4 linked regions of the Nothobranchius furzeri genome follow. The protein of the gene in region 1 purifies or fractionates together with the protein of each later gene. This does not show direct contact. Links are inferred from orthologs where the notes say so. Each region holds a gene or a part of one and is shown on either strand. Other genes may lie near its edges. The genes, in order: edc4, xrn1, dcp1a and edc3.

Evidence for each region.
Region 2: the proteins of edc4 (region 1) and xrn1 purify together in Homo sapiens (co-immunoprecipitation; 4 studies listed by BioGRID and IntAct, with this or other methods). This does not show direct contact. The link is inferred for Nothobranchius furzeri from reciprocal best matches to the Homo sapiens genes EDC4 and XRN1.
Region 3: the proteins of edc4 (region 1) and dcp1a purify together in Homo sapiens (co-immunoprecipitation; 9 studies listed by BioGRID and IntAct, with this or other methods). This does not show direct contact. The link is inferred for Nothobranchius furzeri from reciprocal best matches to the Homo sapiens genes EDC4 and DCP1A.
Region 4: the proteins of edc4 (region 1) and edc3 purify together in Homo sapiens (affinity purification with mass spectrometry; 6 studies listed by BioGRID and IntAct, with this or other methods). This does not show direct contact. The link is inferred for Nothobranchius furzeri from reciprocal best matches to the Homo sapiens genes EDC4 and EDC3.

Annotation. Positions count from the first base shown.
Region 1 is NC_091744.1:83,092,458-83,096,776, reverse strand, and holds part of edc4 (enhancer of mRNA-decapping protein 4), read right to left. Parts: intron 1,786-4,319; coding exon 1,670-1,785; intron 1,590-1,669; coding exon 1,424-1,589; intron 298-1,423; coding exon 111-297; intron 1-110. UniProt on the Homo sapiens protein: In the process of mRNA degradation, seems to play a role in mRNA decapping. Component of a complex containing DCP2 and DCP1A which functions in decapping of ARE-containing mRNAs. Promotes complex formation between DCP1A and DCP2.
Region 2 is NC_091751.1:60,943,919-60,948,237, forward strand, and holds part of xrn1 (5'-3' exoribonuclease 1), read left to right. Parts: coding exon 1-48; intron 49-252; coding exon 253-409; intron 410-639; coding exon 640-759; intron 760-856; coding exon 857-1,026; intron 1,027-1,132; coding exon 1,133-1,250; intron 1,251-1,414; coding exon 1,415-1,510; intron 1,511-4,319. UniProt on the Homo sapiens protein: Major 5'-3' exoribonuclease involved in mRNA decay. Required for the 5'-3'-processing of the G4 tetraplex-containing DNA and RNA substrates. The kinetic of hydrolysis is faster for G4 RNA tetraplex than for G4 DNA tetraplex and monomeric RNA tetraplex.
Region 3 is NC_091755.1:32,995,732-33,000,788, forward strand, and holds the start of dcp1a (mRNA-decapping enzyme 1A), read right to left. Parts: upstream 3,027-5,057; 5' UTR 2,988-3,026; coding exon 2,859-2,987; intron 2,485-2,858; coding exon 2,444-2,484; intron 1,674-2,443; coding exon 1,546-1,673; intron 1-1,545. UniProt on the Homo sapiens protein: Necessary for the degradation of mRNAs, both in normal mRNA turnover and in nonsense-mediated mRNA decay. Removes the 7-methyl guanine cap structure from mRNA molecules, yielding a 5'-phosphorylated mRNA fragment and 7m-GDP.
Region 4 is NC_091744.1:58,994,032-58,999,149, reverse strand, and holds the start of edc3 (enhancer of mRNA-decapping protein 3), read left to right. Parts: upstream 1-1,946; 5' UTR 1,947-2,087; intron 2,088-2,279; 5' UTR 2,280-2,282; coding exon 2,283-2,446; intron 2,447-2,518; coding exon of another isoform or gene 2,519-2,535; coding exon 2,536-2,762; intron 2,763-2,855; coding exon 2,856-3,194; intron 3,195-3,278; coding exon 3,279-3,432; intron 3,433-4,842; coding exon 4,843-5,060; intron 5,061-5,118. UniProt on the Homo sapiens protein: Binds single-stranded RNA. Involved in the process of mRNA degradation and in the positive regulation of mRNA decapping. May play a role in spermiogenesis and oogenesis.

The sequences.
Region 1 (4,319 bases):
CGAGTGAGCCGCTCCGCTGCCGTTCCGTTCCGCTGATGCTTGCAGTGTGAAACCGGGGTTTCACGCTCGGCTAACAGAGCCATCGACGAGGGAACGGCGCGGATACATACTTTCCCACCACGATCTGCATCTGCTGTTGGACCTCAGCCCGGACCGTGGCTGTGATGCTGCTGGCCAGCTGATCCGTGGAGCTCTGGAAGCTGTCGATCATCTGCTGGAGCTGCCCGATCACGGGGTCCCGCGCGTCCTGCTCTCTCTGCTTTCTGCTCTTCATGTGGGTCTCAAGCTGCTGGATGTCTGCAGAGACGAAAGTTAAAAAAGTATTTTCCTCCCTCAGCCCCCCCCCCCCCACACACACACACAAACACACACAAGATCAACACGGTCACAGCTGCAGGGCTGAGTCTCTCCATCCAACACACACACACATGCACGCACGCACACACATGCACACGCACACACACACGAACATGCGCACACACACGCACACACACACACCCAAGAAACACTGGTGGTTTAGAGGAAACGTGTATTAATGTCCTAAAACGTGTCGGACAGCCTGTACACACTTCCTGTATCGTTAAAGGCTCTTCAGTGAATAAATGGATAAAATATTTACTGCACTGGTCTTTAGTCAAGTCTGCACACACACTCGTGCACGTAGGTGGATCTGACGGTGAGCGAACAGGCGCAGCTGCAGCCACAGACTTCAGTACGAGTTGAAGCCATTTTCATGGTAAAAGTAGGATCAATAATATTAATAATAAATAAAAAATATCAGGATTTCATCTTCTGGAAGAAAATTTTCACAAAGTCTAATTCTTCCTCTTCTCTTCGGGCTTTAAGTGAAGCAGCCTAGCAGAAGCTCACAGGTGGAAGACGAGGCCATCTCACCTGGCTGCTCGGCGCAGGTGAGCGAGGACGTCTGTGTGAGCCGACGATGCTCCTCTCAGAGATAAATGCATCGTACGATTAAGTAACTCGTGTGACAGGCCCGGTCGCTACGCAGCGGTGCAGATGTTAACGCGGCACTTCCAGTCAATATTTAACGGCTAAACCCGGAATGTGATCGTGGATTATATGTAAACAGGACGAAGCCTCCGAGTTTAGTGCAGACGCCTCCACTCTGCACACGTTAGATTAGAGAACTGACCAGATTTACAGCTTCAGAGAAGAACCAAATAACTCTTCCTCACAGGATTTCCACTTGAAGAGAATCTAACCCTCAAACGGTCGCTGAGCAAATATCCGAGATGCTCACATGAAGAAAAGCCTCCAAGTAAAGTTTTCACTTTCAAAACGACCCCGTCTGTAAACTAACTTCACCGGATCGGCTCCCCTGGGTCCGAATCAACAACAGCCTGATAAAAAAATACCAGTTTTCAGTGTCTGAGAAGGACGATTTGGTATCTGGTCGTCTTACATTCGTGCGTTCCTTGCTTGAAGCTGTCGTTGATTTGCTGAAACATGGACTGGCAGCCTCGCTCAAACACCGGCAGCACGATGCTCTGGAAGGCATCTTTGTAGGCCGCCTGGATCGGACCCTGCATGGCTTCGGCTGCTGCTCGCCCAATCGCATCGGTCGTGTTCTGATGAAGCAGAGAGACGGTTCTGACGTACCCGGACGTGGGAAAATGCGGCAGCAAGAACACAAACCACAACGCTTTACCTTGGATTTGACCACCTTGCTGACATTGTCCTTCAGAGAGACCTCCACAGCCGTCAGCTTAGCCGCTATGGTGCTGTTCAGCTGACCCGTCACGGGCTCCAGACTCTTGGAAATCGCTGGAGGGGAAGAAGAATGATAAAAACAGATGAACAAGAAGAACTCCTCTATAATTACACAAGAGACAGTGGAGAGAAGAAGATCAAAATGTTTTTAAATCAGAGGGCAGGAGAGGCGAGGCAGGAAGACATTCCTCCAGAGGCTGCTGCGATCAAGACACCTCCGCTGCCTCGGCTATTTTTAATTTGTTCTGCCTTGAATTATCTGAAGCATTAAGACATGTTTTATTGATGCACAAGCTGCTGTACTCGTTGACTCTGGGTATTTAAAGGGACAAAGAGGCAGTTTATCCATACGGGTAGGGCTGCTCAATTAATCGAATTTTAATCACGATTACGATCTGAGTTTTGAACGATTATAAAAAACAAAACAAGCCGATTATTTGCTCCTCCCGCTTGCGCTGCCCTGAGTTGCAAATGAAGCGCTCCTCCACAGTGTTGCCAACTTAGCGACTTTGACGCTATTTCTAGCAGCTTTTCAGACCCCCTTCTTGACTTTTAAATCTTAAAAGTACCTAGCGAACACCTCAGAAACATCTCTGGTAACCCTTAGCTACTTTCTGGATAACTGTCGTCGACATTTCCTGCAGGTTAGCTAAACACTCCGCCTGCGCTCCGGACTGTTCTTCACAACATTAGGAAAGGGATGATGCAGTGATGTGTCGGTCGCTAAAGACAGCTCTCAGAGCCGGCTCCCTGTTGGAGTAACCAGAGTGAGTGACACACACACCGCACCTGCGGACTCCTGAGCAGCTAAAAACAGCTAAATGTGCGCGTGCGGCGAGCTAGACACACGTGCAGCTTGCCCGATTGCTGTGAGACCAGGTTGGGGGGTGGGGAGTGCAGCTGTGGTTGGGACAATTATTACATTAACTGATGGACTTGTAAATAAATAGTTTATAAATAAGGTAGAAATAAGTTTCTCACGCTGATAAATAATAACTAATCTCTCTGGGGACACGATGCTAGTGCACTCTCCTACAGCACCTTGACACGGCTACATAAATGTTATGCAACATTTTGTGAACATCAATTTATTTGCATTTATTTGTTATAAATGCCACTGTATAATTATTGCTGTCAGTATTTGCAAGATATTGGTATTTGGTTCTGTACTGGTTAGACTTAAATGAGTTAAACCAAGGTCTATAGCCCTTGGGTCATAGACTATGAGCTATAAGTATATTGGTCTTTTTATACTGGGAACCAGGAGTTCTTTTAGTGATCATCTTGTTTCTTATTTTTGTCCTGATTGTGCCCTGAGCAATTTTATGACTGAATAGAAACAAATAGAATCAACATAAATTGAAAAATCGTCTTAAATAATCGTGATCTCAATTTCAGTCACCATAATCGTGATTATTATTTTTGCCATAATCGAGCAGCCCTACATACGGGTGAAACTCAAGATGTTAGAATCTGGTGCAAAAGTCCGTTTATGTCAGTGATTCAGCCTGGAAGGTGAAACTAATCTCAGTCGGAGATTTCAGCCTTTATTTGTTTTATTGTCTTGACTTACAGCTGATGAGAACCTCACACTCAACATATCAGACAACTAGAATATTGTGAAAAGGTTCACTATTCTGGACTAGGGTTGTCACGGTAACCGGTGTAGCGGTAAACCCCGGTAAAAAAGTTGACAATAATATTAACCGTCTTGTTTTTAAAAAAACAATATTATCTCGGTGGGTTACCGTGGCTGCGGTGTAGGCGCGGTGACCCTTACCAGCCACCGTATCATCTGCTGAAGTTGCCGGCGGCACATGCGCACTTTGTTGTTTACAACCAAAACTTTCTTGAAGCTAAAGCTGAAATAATGGCCAAAGGAGGAGACGGCAGCGCTCAGGACATTTATTATCCCTCAAAGAAGACAAAGTCAGAAGTACGGGCATCTTTTGGATATTTGAAGAACGCCGAGGGACAGCTGATAGAAGACAGCTATCCTGTTTGCAGCACGTGCAGAAAAAGTGTCTGTGAAAGGCAGCAACGCTTCAAATCTCATGACACATCTGCGTGACCATCACCCACAACTCTACAGTCAACGGAAGGCAAGCTAATGTTAGCGTTTTAGCTAAAATGCGTGATCCGAGGATTTGGGTTGAGGGAGAATGCAACGAGTCGCTATATAAAGCAGCCGCAGCGCCGCTACCTGCATATAAACCGTGTCGCGGACACCCCCATGTAGAAATGACGCTATGCATTACGGGGCTCCCAGGGGCAGATAAGAGTTGGTCTCTCTCCGAGAATAATTATGAATTTAACAACGATTCCTGCCTGATGACATTTTCCCACATCTGCAAAGCTCACTGGAAGGACACAAACCGAGGACAATATTTTCCTGATATACGGGGTTTATGTAGTTGTCTGAAAATGTAACATGTTTAAAAAATACCGCGATAATACCGAAAACTGTGATAATTCTGGTCACAATAACCGTGAGGTTACATTTTCACACCGTGACAACCCTATTCTAGACTCAAAGTGTCACGCTGATGAAGGTTCCTGAGCCTTTAGATCAGGGGTCCTCGACTAAT
Region 2 (4,319 bases), on another chromosome or scaffold:
CCAGTGGATTCTTCACTACTACTATCATGGTGTTCAGTCCTGGAGCTGGTGAGAGCTTTTATGTTTTGAAGAAAACAAAAACTGTTAAAAATTCACTTGTAAAACGACACATTTCAGATGATCGTGACAGACCACGTTGTTTAGGTTATTAAAGCATTTATTGACCTGAATTCACTTAATTTAACATAACAAAAGATTTTCTTTTGTGGTTTTGATTTAAAATCATTTTTTAATTATCATGTGTGTCTCCAGGTACTACCCATACCATTACGCTCCGTTCCTGTCCGACATCAAAAACATATCAGGGTTGAAGCTGACCTTTGACCTCGGGAAGCCCTTTATGCCTTTCCAGCAGCTGTTGGCAGTCCTGCCTGCAGCTAGCAAGGTTCTGCTGCCTGAGTGCTACAGGGTGATTATTGCCACACTCTAAATACTTTTGAGTTGGGGATATAAATGTTTTACAGGCACAAGGTGTCAGTCTGAGGGCCGTGATGCGATTATAAAACATTAAAACTACCGTAGGTTTCACCAAAATACAGGAAGTTGTTATACATGACGGTTATTTTAAGAGTCGGACTGAGACACAAAATCCTGATGCTGCCGATGAGATGGATGATACTTGTTGTTTTGATGCCCCAGGATCTGATGACGAGCACAAACTCCCCCATCATTGAGTATTATCCTCTAGACTTTAAAACGGACCTCAACGGCAAGCAGCAGGAATGGGAAGCTGTGGTGCTCATTCCATTTATAGACGAGGTATACACACACACACACACACACAAAAGCGCCGCTGGTGGCAGACTAATGTTACCTCAGACGAACTCATTGACCCGTGTCTGCGTGCTTTAAACAGAGGTGCCTGCTAGCAGCTATGGAGCCCTTCAACCACAAGCTGACAAATGAAGAGAAAGCCAGGAATCGGCATTCAGAGTGTGACTTGTACTCGTATGATGGAGATTTAGACTTCACGTACAACTCCTCCCTGCCTCACCTGTTCCCCAGCATCATAAACTGCCATGTCAAGTAAACACAAACACATTAATACAGATCTGTGTTTGATACAGGATAATTATCTCTGAAAGACAGAGTGCACGTCACAAGCTCAGCCGGTTTTCATTGGTTGTTTCAGGAAAGTCAGCATCCCGATGGACACGTGGAAAGTTCCTCCTGGTCACATCTACAAGCGCGCTGACCGCTCGGCGCTCTACTTCTGTGGTTTCCCTACTTTGCACCATATCAAACACAAGGTGGGCTGGGTGACTGCTGATGTTTTCATTTTGCAAGTTTATAGACAAAATGTAGCACAAGTACCATTTTTTTATGTCTTCAATCAGTAATGCGTGTTAAATAAGATTTAATTATGATGTTTTAATGCAGACTTGCATTGAAAAGCTCCTCGTCTTTTCACTAGTTCTATAAGAAGAAGAGTGGCGTTGTAGTCTTCCAGCAGAGCAGCAGAGGGGAGAACATGATGCTGGAGCTTCTCCCCAGTCAGGACGGGGAAACGGTGAGTTTTGGTTTTCTTCATAAATCTAGGGCTGGGACCAAAACTTACATTTTGATCTTTATTAGCTGAATTCTGATGCGTGATATTTATCGCAATATCTGACTTCCTGTACAGATTTTACAAAATATCTGTTACATGTCTCAAACACACAATATATTTATCATCTATGTAAACCATGTAGAACCTAGGAGTCTGGCCCATATCACTCTTAATACTATAGTATCATGTAACACAATATAGTCATTTTTTATTTTTTCTTACCCAGAAAAAAATAATTTTTCAACATGGTGATTTAAATGGGAACTTGGCAGTTTTGGCTTGCTTTTAGCACCCCCTAGTGTCAGTTTGTAGAACCAAAACCTTTCTCCTCGTCGTCTCTTCAACAGCTGGAATGTCTCCCCTGCTTTCATTAGTGTCTGCATGAGTGATTCATTGCTAAATTTAACAAATCAGCTAACATGCAGGAAACGTGCTGGAACCAGACTGCGGCGTCAGGTATGTCGGATCAATTTTAGCACATTCTGGCTCAAGAAAATGATTTAAAAATATGAAAAAGTTGCAAAGCATCTCTTAAAAGATGTAAATAAATCCACAATGCAGCAGATTATGCTAACATGTTCACACAGCACAGAGGAAGGCAAACATAGTTGGAATCTCACATTATTTACTCATAATTCGGCACCATGTACCTGTTAGCTGATGATGCAGGGGATTTGGCCCGTCTCACCAAACAAACAGGAAAAACAAAACAGTCAGTCATGACGAATAAGCTCACTAAAACACAAACGTCCCCAAAAACTGTAACCAAAAAGCTGAGTTTGAAGTTCAGGGCAGAAAATTAAACCCGGATATTTTTATTTTCTGGTAGTTTTGTCTGCACCAGATCGTCTTGACGTGTAAGAATGATCGTTCAGGGTTTCCCCCCCATCGCTTTGTAAGCTGCTTGGCCAGGCTAAGCGTCATGCCCCGCCCCCCTCCTCGACACAGCTGTGTCTGCTGACAGGAATGGCGCAACAAAACTAGAGCCCTCCATCAGCTGGTACTGGTGAGAAACAGCAGCGGAACGTGTGCAAACCCCCCCCCCTGCCCGGATCTGCCAGGCTTAACTCATTTTCTGGGGGAAACCCTGATCGCTTATTGTCAGACGGAGGAGCAGCAAGCTAGCAGGAGCGATGCCTGCTGACTAGAAACTCACTGGTTGTATATTTATATTAGGGCTGCACGATATTAGGAAAACCTGCGATATTCGATAACAGTGCTTAATATTGCGATATCGATATTACTCACGATAAATGAACAAATACTAAAGTATGCAGTGTTGATGTCGTCTGGCGTGTGACGTCTGCTCTGGGTTCAAAGCAAACAAAAACTAATGCATGAATTCCATTACAACATAACATTTTTATTGCAAAAATATGCAGCTGCACCTGCTACTGTATTAGCAGCAAAACAACAAACTGCATGCATGCAGCTTCTCAGTGACTTTAAAACATCACCACCACCATAAAACTTTTTCTGATGCTCCAAATACAGAAAAACATCCCTTACCAGGGTTTTTGGAATAAATAAAAACATCATAAAATAAGTTTAAATGTTAAATAATAGTTAACATCACTTACATGCAACAGCAAGTTCTCTCATTGCTACTGAACATTTTCTCCACTTATGTGGTTATGATATAAGGCTGTTGCTGTAATTGGGAAGTGATCTGTGCTGGGCCAAACTAGGAGAATATTAAGATTTTTTGAGGGAAAGAGAAAAACAAGAGGAACTGGCAAAAAAAACTACATGGAAAATATGTGAAAACGTTTGTTTTTATCCCCAAATTGAACAAGTTTACCTAGATCTTAAAAAGCAGCTCAGATGATGAAACTGCAACTATGATTCTGATAACAAGCTAACAAATTGAACTAGCTCCTCTTAAGATTACCAGCTAGCAGAGCTTCTGACTGACAGTTTATGTGCAGCAGCAAATCAACTATCCTGATTAACAAGGTTATAAATGAAAAATCACTTTGATGTGTGGGGGAACTTTTCCAGGCCCTCTTTAGCAGGGTGGGACTGGGAGGAGAGTGCTGTAGCCTTTTAGCTGGAAGCTAACCGGACCGGAGCATGGGGCTAACGTCACCACCCGGTGGAACACTAGCGACATGGAGGTGGGTGGGTTGGTTCACCGGCACGTGTCGGAGTCAGCCCGGTTATTATCAGCTGCTTAACGACACCGAGCGGACTCACGTTCACGTTTGAAAGCAGCGCTGATTCCAGAAACCTCAGCACAAAGTGCGTTCGTTAATCTGAGCCAGCATGACGAACAAGGGAAGCGAGCGGCAGCGGAAAGCGGGGGCGGAGCGGAGATAGTGGGATTTTGGGGTAAGGGTCTACGTAGGGGGCGGGCGTATTATGTGAACGGACCCATCTGATTGGCCGCATATCAGAGGGGCTACATTTGATTGATCAAATAATACTTCCGCGTAAAAAACAGAGCTGGTTTACAAAAAGCTGATGTATGACACGGATGGAAATGTTTGAACCAAACATTTATCGCCGTTTTTGACGTGCTTTGCGATGGGCCTATCGCACGTCCTGTTATCCCGATGACGACAATTTTTCGATATATTGTGCAGCCCTACTTTATATCGATATTAACAATACTGAGTCATCATGTGTCTTGTTTGAAAATATATCTGCCAAGTTGAGATAATGTCCAGCCCTATTTAAACCTGTCGAATTAACAGCCAGCTGCTACAAACGGTCATAAAACTCTGTTCTGGTTTGTAGTGTTAAAAAAGTTTCAGACAGGGTGTCATGT
Region 3 (5,057 bases), on another chromosome or scaffold:
GTGAATATACCATCCCCCAGGGAGGCTGTGGTTACCTAGCAACTGAAGAGTTTGCCTCCCTGCAGCATCTCCAGCCACCAAAGGGAATATGAAGCCATGTAAACAAGTATGTCTCTCTCCAACAGTCTATAGCCCCGAGCTGCAAGCTCACAAGCACTCAAAGGAGACTGAAGAAACACTCATATATTTGTTAATCATCACCATCTCTCTGAAGATTTAACCGTACTTGTGTCTAACCTGTGCTCTTTATTTGATCCTGCTTTTATGCCAGCTCAGTCTTCATCGTTTCTTCTACTACTCTCGCTTTCAGGATCACAGCTGGGAAATCTAAACTCATACAGCCACACCTTTACAGCAACAGGCTACAGAACGAGTCAGCACACTGAGATCTAGTGGACTGTGTGTGTGCGAGGGACTGTCTGCTGCCAGGGAGAAACCTGAAGATTATCTTCCTGCAACTCCACCAAACAACAATATTAGCACACATGCTAAAGTAAAGTTATCCGAGAAGCTGGTTTTACTGGGATACCAACCTCATCATGTCCTCGATCCCAGCCAGGCTGATGTGCAAACCAACTCCAAAAGGGGAGCCGTCGACTCTAACTTTGACCCTGGCTATGCTGTTTTTCCTTATAAGCAAACAAATGGGAAAGCATTCTAACTCCTTGTTCGTTGCCCTGATGAAGCTTCTCTTCAGACTTCTAATAGATTACCTTGGAGGCAGCGCAGTCAGCTACTTTTTGAAGATTTGAGAAACTTTGCGGCCTTTTTGTTACACTGCTCTGTCACAAGGCTGGAGGACATCGCTGGATTAACTTAGTGGTCGGATTCACCAATCAGAGACTTAACTCTGAGACGGTTGCCCAAATGCAGAAAGATAACTGTTCACTAGCAAAGCTGAAGTTGCTGTTTGGCCATTTTGGGCCATGAGTGCTAAAGTGTTCCTGCTTGATGCTGCAAGACGTCACAATGACTTCAAGCAATATGGAAGAGAGGTGTTCCATCGAACGCTGGGGAGATATCTGTCTATTGTTTTCACAGGTAGGATCATAATAGTGTTTATGCTAGTTAATATAATTAAGGATCATAATAGTGTTTATGCTAGTTAATATAATTAAGGATCATAATAGTGTTTATGCTAGTTAATATAATTAAGGATCATAATAGTGTTTGTGCTAGTTAATATAATTAATACACACATTTGTATGTAAAAGTGAAGATATCACTAATGCTTCAAATAGGAAAATTATGAAAATGCCAAAATTGCAGAAATTTCTATTAAATAATGAGCATTTTGTGACTAACAGAATTTAACAAAGCAACAATAATAATAAGCTATTATACTAGGAGGAAATGTATTTTCATTTTGGTTCAGAAGTCATTAAACATGTTTACAGATTTATTAAACACTTTTTCTGTGCTGGAAACAAGTCCTTAATGTTAAGTCACCTTGAAACAAAACCACAAACACACCAAAATACAACAGAAAAAATAACATATTTCAAAAATACTTCTTTAGTGTTTCATTTCCTTCAAAACACTCACAGTTTCCATTTCTGTAGAGCAAGAAAGGATCCTGCAGCTGGAACTCCAGGTCTTTATTTATGGGCTCAACAAGGTTCTGTGCACTCAGTCGATTCATAATGGTGAAGCCATGGTGAGGGGAGGCAGACCTTCATAAGGACCCAGGAAAAACATTACCTCCTTAATTGCACTTCACATTGCTTTGGGTACAATATTTACTCCACATTTGATTGTTTTTAATTGACCATTTAAAGCAATACTAAAGAGTTTTCGACACTTTAAGCTATTGCCTTCAAACTGGTTTCAGTGGTTCTTCAGCCATAAAGTTGAACATCTTCACATGGGACAGCACTCAGTAGCCCTCTGCTGACCAGAAACTACATTTAACAGTTTTATGGTTTGGGTCGGCACAAGTGTGGGAGGTCTCTACCTGCTAAAAAGCAGGAGCTGTTTACTGTGCTAGTAATTAATATAAAGGATAGCAGTTAACTTTACTATTGATTTAAGTAGCTCCCAGTCCAATTCAAAGTAACCTACAACAAATTCGTGTCCTGTTTATTTTTTTAACAGAAAGATTTGCCTTTGTGTATTTACTGGTACTTTTGTTATTTTTCTTCTTCTATTCTCTAAGTGTATGTGCTTCTGTAACGAGTGAATTTACCCACAAAATTAATAAAGTCTATTATATTTCCTTATAACTAAAGTTTGTAGGTGGTCGTTTTAGTTCTTCATGCTTTAACTGATTAAAAATAAAGTTTATTACAACGTTATAACATAATATTTCAGTTTCAATCTCTAAACACTGTAATTTACGTTCGATTTACTGAATCACAGAGTCCACTTTATCTTTGTTTACAAATTTCAAGGCCTCACGTGCGCAGACGGCGGAACAACCATCGTGGCTCTCAGGTATTCTTACCTTGCATAAACAAACAGGGTTCCCTCAACTTCGGTTTTCTCCTGGAACAAATAGAGATAACGACTCAAACCTAGAAACCGCAAATCCAAACTAGCTAAATAAATTTAGCGAGGGTGATAAGCTAACTGAAAGCTAATAAGGCGTTAAATTTTACAATTAGAAAGTACCTAAGATGCATTAATTGTGTTCGCGTTAAAACAACATACTAGACAACGCTATCTTAATTAACTAAACAAATAAAGACATTTACTTAAAAAACAAAACAAACAAACAAACAACCCCCCCCCCCAAAAAAAAAACAACAACAATATTTTCTGTTTTGAATCAAAGCTCAGAAGCTAAGTGTGAAGCTAGCTTTGTTGGCTCTCCACCAAATATTTCCCGAAACTTTTCCAGGGTAAATTCTCTTACTTACCCATTCGTTTGCTTTTGAATTGAAGTTGTAAAGAGCAACCTGACCGGTAACATCGAGCAGTTTGTTAATGTATGGATCGTGTCTCTGCAAAGCAGCTAAACTCATCAGATGTCCAGCATTAATCGCCATCTTTGCTTATGATTTTCTGCCGCACGGACGAATTTTTGCAAACACCTATAACTTCCGGTATTTACGGAAATCCCACCACTGAAAAGGTTCCCCAGAGGAGTTTTTTTAATTCCGCGGGGAATAATAATAATAATAATAATAATAATAATAATAATAATAATAATAATAATAATAATAAAAACAATGTAATTGCAAATTCTGAGAGAAAATGCAGAAAAAATATGTCTGAAACCAAACCCACAACAATGTGAACATAGTTTGAAAAGGTAGTTTGCCAACTGAAGTTGAAGCTTATTTCCTACACATAATGTCATCCTTTGAGATATTAGAAAAACAAGTTTCAAACTTTTTTGGACTTTTATGCAAGCCAGTTCAAATTAAGGGAATACATGTAATGTGTATACTCTAGGCATTTAACCCTCTCAGGCTCAAAATAAGTTTTGATAAAGGAACAAACAACTAAGTCTTTCAGGGATACATCTGAGTTAAAAAAATGCTCATGAAATACGTATGTGGAGTAACCAGTTAGGTAGGTTTTAACTGTTGCAAATCTGCAGCGCCTGCCTCCAGAGGGTTAAGAAAGTTTCATGTGATTGCAGGTTTCTTAAAATATAAAAATGATAATAAACTTTTAACCCACATATTTAATTTCCACCAAAATAATATTTAGCAATGTGCAACAAACTGTGAAGCAGAAAAACACGGAAATAGATACCTATTTTAACAACTTGTTCACACCTCATTCATTGGATGATCAAAATTTGGAGTTATTTATTATTAAAATTGAGTTCAGTAGCTATTTGCAATGCAAAAGCCTGCAATTATAATGTTAATTTCATGTAGCCTAATATGTTTCCTACCTCAAGTTTCATGGAAATATGTACACATCACAATGGTTTTTTTCATTTTAACTTGTGTTTTTACGCCTAAAATTTCTATTGTTGATCATTTTATTTACCCAAGTTGTTTGGTATATATTTTGTTAATCTTGAAAGAAAATGAAAGCAAAAACAGAACAATATTTCACAACGCCTGACATGGTTTTATGAATGCAGTTTATAATTTCAGATTTATTACTCAGACCTATTTGAGAAGAACTTGCATTATTTTCCTTGTTATGAAGTCAAAGTTAGATTTTCCTTTTATTCAAATCCTAAACTGCTAATAAGTGAATGAAAGTGTCTGAAAATTCTATTTAAAAAATCATGTTTATTATTTGACCCTAGCTTTGGTGCATGCAGCTATCTCTCATGCTTAGGGAACGGGGATTATAATCTAAGGATTACGCACTACCGTGAATCTGTTTTACCCTGAATGCAGGTAATCCAATCACTATCATTCCATCAGAGCTCCAAACCACCCATTCCCTCACGAATCGCCGTAGAATGAACACACAGATCGGCGCTATGAGGCCTCGAAGAAGGAACAGGTGACAGAATGCGGTTTATTATCAGGGGCAGACACCTGAGGGGTAAGTCCAGACAGTGCGCAAAGATTTAGTACATTTTATCTGTCAGACAGGGCAAACCATACAGTTTATTACCAAGGTGATGACCAAGAAATGCATGTGTCTGCAGACATGCATGTTTTTATTTAAAAGAAGTAAGTAAATCAGATATTTTTTGTTGAAGACTGCGACCCAAGATGGCTGATCTTTGACACAAGGATAAAAAAAACGGCAAATAATAATAATTTTTAAATAAATAAATAAATAAATAAATAAATAAATTCTTTGACATTTTTGATTGGTTACAACGATTCCAGATCATAATCAGGAAAATTAAACCCTTTATAGAGAATCTTGTTTTATTTTCTACTGCTGGAACTTGTCATCAGTCCACGGTGAGACTTATTGACAGCAGACTGGTCCGCCGCTCACAGCTCGTCCTCTCGGATGCGCCGTGAATCCACACCAGGCACCCGGATGTGGGGAAAATGCTCGGCGCTCCTCTCAGGATCTGCGCTCGGGAAAGTCTTTGTAAATCAGGTTAGCGGCTCCGCTCCGTCGTCACTTACAGGTGTTTTCTTCCAACGATGAGTTGGATTTAACACGCATCTCTTCAATGTGGA
Region 4 (5,118 bases), about 24 Mb from region 1:
TAAAGCAGCGTGCGTGCTTATTGAATCTGTGTGTGTGTGTGTGCGCGCACGCGTGTGCGGCATAGCCGCTCAAGTCACCGCGTCTCGTTATTGGCGCTATTTAAACTTCTGCCCAGCCCAGATGTGCTCACATGTGCACCCGTGAGCCGTGGTTCCGCTGGAACACGTCTGACCTCTGACAGACGCACTCTGAACTTCAGATCTTCAGCGCGCTGTCAATAGCCTAAATGGGAATCATTTCTTGTTATTTTGTTACATCCACAATGTTCTGTGTGTGAGGTTTACAATGTCAGAACACCTGCATGAGACAGGGTGTTAATTACAATCTGCCAGAATGACTTGCCACCTTCAGATTTCTCCAACACCGTTAAAAATGATCAAATACGGAACATATCGGCGTGCGCAGGCCAGAGTGCTGAAGCTCGGCGCATTGTTATTATGAAGCTAGGGCACATGCGGAGGACACGCGCGCGCGACGGAACATATCGGCGTGCGCAGGCCAGAGTGCTGAAGCTCGGCGCATTGTTATTATGAAGCTAGGGCATATGTGGAGGACGCGCGCGCGCAAAAATATACTTGTTTTCAATTACATTTATTGGGCCCACTTACTTTTTCTTAGGCCCACCCACAAATGAGTTTCTACAATAATGGTGACATATGACAGACTTCTCTGAGCTCCGCAGCCATTACACTTTTCACCTCGCGCACCCCCTAGCGGCAGCTCGCGCACCCCCAGGGGTGCGTGCACCACACTTTGGAAATCCCTGCTCTAGATGAAGAACCTACAAATTCTGAAAAATCTCAAGCATTGTTTATGCAAGAAGCTGCTGTCACTCAGGATTTGGCACAGAAGCTGACTGACAGCATCAGTGAACTGCAGACAGCTTCAAAAAAAGAGGAAATGCTGCAAGTACTGATTATTTGCTAACTAATAACTGTTTCCATTAAATGTGTTTATGGAATGGTTGTAAACCTTATAAAATACTTGTACTTCAGTAAAACATGTCAAACAATAACAATGAATCCACAAACAAACAAACAAACAAACCTTCTAACACCACAACTAAATCATAAAATATTAAACTCACTGGAACCCTGCTGAAGGGAGTGTGGACACATAAGTGCCAACCACACCCACATGTTTTGGACATGCAACAGAATAAAACCATTTTAGGATCAAAAATCTATTGAAATGACAAAATTATTTGGATATAAAATACCCCAAAATGAGATGATTTTAATGTTTTGTAACTTAACTGAGAATGTGGTCAAGAGAAAGGACTATCTCTGTAAAATTTTGTTAATTGCTGGTAAAAAAACAATAACCAGAACCACCAACCCTGGAACAGTGAGAGGAGACAGTGAACAATATACGATGGAACGGATCACTTTTTAGTTGAGACTGAGGGGAGAACTCTTTTTTTTAATGGGGAAAAATGGACCTCCTATCTTCAAGGGACATAGGATGCTAAAGGTAAAAATATAACTGGTTATAGGATAGAATTGGCAAAGCCCCAAGCAACTGTTTTATATTCACCCATACATTTTATTGTCATTTTTTCAATTTTGCCCTATATGGTTCTCCTTCTTTTCTTTAGTTTGTTTTTCTACCAACACAGATTTTTGTTGTATATGTTGATTAAATAAGAAAGACAAATAAATAAAAAGTAAAAAAAAAAAAAAGAAAAGAAAAAAAAGAGGAAATGCTGCAAGTATTGATTATTTGCTAACTGATAACTATTTCCATTAAACGTGTGGAATGGAATGGTTGTAAACCTTATAAAATACTTGTACTTCAGTAAAACATGTAAAAAAATAACAAAGAATCCACAACAAACAAAAACTCACTCACTCACTCACTCACTCACTTTCAGTTAAAGACTTTTGACTAAACGTTTTTACCAGCCAGATATAAAAGTTCCGTCTTATTTTGAAAAGCTCAGTCTACCGGAAACAGGAAGGCGAATAGCAGTAGCTGTTCTAAAGCTAAAACGCTAACTTCTCCGAGAGCAATTTTCTTAGCTTTTACTACCCGCTGTTTCATTTTTATTATCAAGAGGGGTCTACTTTATCTTAATTCCCTAAAGGTACGGTGATAGTTGAAGGTATTTTACGTTTCAGCACGTAAATTGGCTCTGCGTAGCTTAATAACAGGCCGGAATAATAAGCAGTCGACACATTTCGTAGGCCTAAAAATGAACAATTAATATTTGTGGTTCTCTTAGGTCACAAGTTAACGTGCTGCTGTAACAAGTGTGACAACTTTTAACTTTTTGCAGATAATGGCTGCGGACTGGTTAGGTAGTTTAGTGTCCATTAATTGTGGCCCAACGCTTGGGGTGTATCAAGGAGAAGTATCATCAGTGGACCAGTCAAGCCAAACCATCTCTCTAAGGCAGCCTTTTCACAACGGAGTCAAATGTCCAGTTCCCGAGGTCACATTCAGGTAAACACGGGTCTTTTCCACTGTTAGTAACTTTGTGTGATTTGCAGTTTCTAGTAACTATTGATACAATAGTTTGATTGTTTTTCCAGTGCCATTGATATAAGGGAGCTAAAGATTTTAGACATCAGAAGTGGTAATGCAAGGAGAACCTCTACTACAGCTACAAACGTGCACAGTGTTCCGGTGGCAGTCCCAAAGGGTGACCCCAGAGCTGTTGAGAAATTAAACTCTCCCCAGCAATGCTCTAAAAGTTACGGAGAGCGTCATCTAGATGCTCTGGGCCAACCCAAAGGGTTTCGTCGAAGACATAACTCATGTAAGGGCCATTTGTTCGGCGATCAAATAACTAAACAAAAAATCAATTTCTGTGGCATGATACTAATGGTTGAAGTTTTTCTAATCTCACCAGGGTCATCTAGTAGTCGAGGACCAAACCAAGCAACACCTAAAAAGAATGGAGTGAAGAACGGTCAGATGAAGCACAGAGACGATGAGTGTTTTGGGGACGGCATGGAGGATGACCTGGACACGGATTTTGACTTCGAAGGGAATCTTGCCCTTTTTGACAAAGCAGCAGTTTTCTCAGAGATTGACACATCAGAGCGGCGTAACGGGGCACGGTCACGGGGCACTCCTCAAGACCAGACACCCTCACGGTACCGCCATGATGAGAACATATTGGAGGGCAAACCAGTCGTTTACAGACAGATTATTGTACCTCAGCCTGGGGCCAAAGAGTACTGTACTGGTATGTGCTTAACATTGTAAATGGTATTATATGATAGTGTTTGGGTTTAAACTGGTTGACACCTTTCTCTATTACTTTCTACAGATTCTGGACTTGTTGTACCAAGTATTTCCTATGAACTCCACAAGCGGCTGTTGTCTGCTGCTGAGCGTCACGGCCTCTCACTGGAGCGAAGACTTGAGATGACTGGAGTGTGTGCCAGTCAGATGGCACTTACACTGTTAGGAGGGCCCAACAGGTAAATGTGTAAAGATGAAGACTAACTTCTAAATCACCTTAGAAATAAGGAAAGTTTTGAGTCAATTTCAGCACTTAAATTATTCGAGTAACTTAAATGAGCTAATTACAGATACTTCATTGGTTGTCATGACTGTGGTTTCCTCTGTGTCGACATGTTTAATTGGGACTGACATGCTGAGGCAGCCCGAAAAGTGGCTTCACTTTTTAATAATGGAGAAAAGCAAAGATTTTTTTATGCATGACTAAGGCCGACTCTGGTATAAATGATGGATGAAACAGACCAAACGGTTTTGGATCAATCAATCAATCAATACTTTATTAATCCCAGAGGTAAATTAGAGTTTCAGTATGCACAATTCAGAGATCAGACATACAGGTTGGTAGGTCGGGTTTTCACAGCATCTGTCTGCATTCCTTCATGGGGGTTTTTAGTTGCTTGCAGTTCAAGGCTACCAGGGCGTCAGATTCGGATAACAAGAATTTGTTTGGGTCAGGCTGATATAATTTTCCTCTTTGCCTTCAGTCTTTTAAACTGATCATTCCAGTCCTTCAGTGAAGCCAATTTTGGGTTTTTAAGCTTGTCCATACCGTCTGGTAACTCTCCGAGATGACGTCCATTTTGCACACTAATACCGGTATCGCAGCTAGAACATTGTCCAGCTTATGATTCACCTCGAGTAACGTCCCAGTCTGAGAAGTCTCCACACGTACGGTGCTTTCCGTGGGTGCAGGTCACCCTCCAACCGCTCCCGTCTTCCCAAATTTCCAGAAAACCAGATATCCTCCCACTCCAATCAGGAGAAATCCAGTGATCATCAGGCCGAATATCCACACGTCTTCGATATCCTCAATCGACAGCTGGGAGAGGCATATGATCTTCCACTCCTTCCGGGAATCCAACATATATCCCACTGGGTGTGTCCCCTGTGGACATGTGGGAGCCCCCCTACTCCGTTCTCAATGTTGAAAAAATCTTATCGATCGCATTGAATGACCAATTTATCAAATCCATGGTTAGTTAACAGTTTTTCAGAAGAAATGCAGAGAAGCGCTCTGTGGGCAGACAGGACAAAGAGCCTTGGGGAAAAAAAGATAAGGGAGCAAAAGAGGGAAGCGTCTGTACTCCTCGAGTGCCTGAAGAATCAGACATAAAGAAGATCAAACATAAAAAAGCATCAAACTTTTGAGTAAAAGATTGGGAACAACCTGCGTGATGCATGTAGCTGCAGCACTAGTCGCTTGTGTACCCTTTTGTTTTTGTTTCCTCAGGTATGTTCTGAGGTGTAGTTTCCAATGTTTCCTCTTTTCGATGTTAATGCAGGTTATTTAAAGAATTTTCGTTAGACAATTGATCCTGTTAATTTCTCCAAATTTTCTTAACCTAATCTGTGTTTCATTTCAACTCTAGATTCACACCAAAAAATTTACATCAGCATCCCACTGTGGCGCTGATGTGTGGACCTCATGTTCAAGGCGCTCAGGGTATCAGCTGTGGTCGTCACCTGGCCAATCATGAAGTAGAGGTTATCTTGTTCCTGCCAAACTTTGTCAAGATGCTTGATTCTGTGACAAACGAGCTCACACTTTTCAACAAAACTGGAGGCAAACAGGTGTCCAGTATCAAAGGTGGGTTTGTTGGGACATAAATATTGATAATTTGTTTATTTTAGTAATTAAGAGTTCA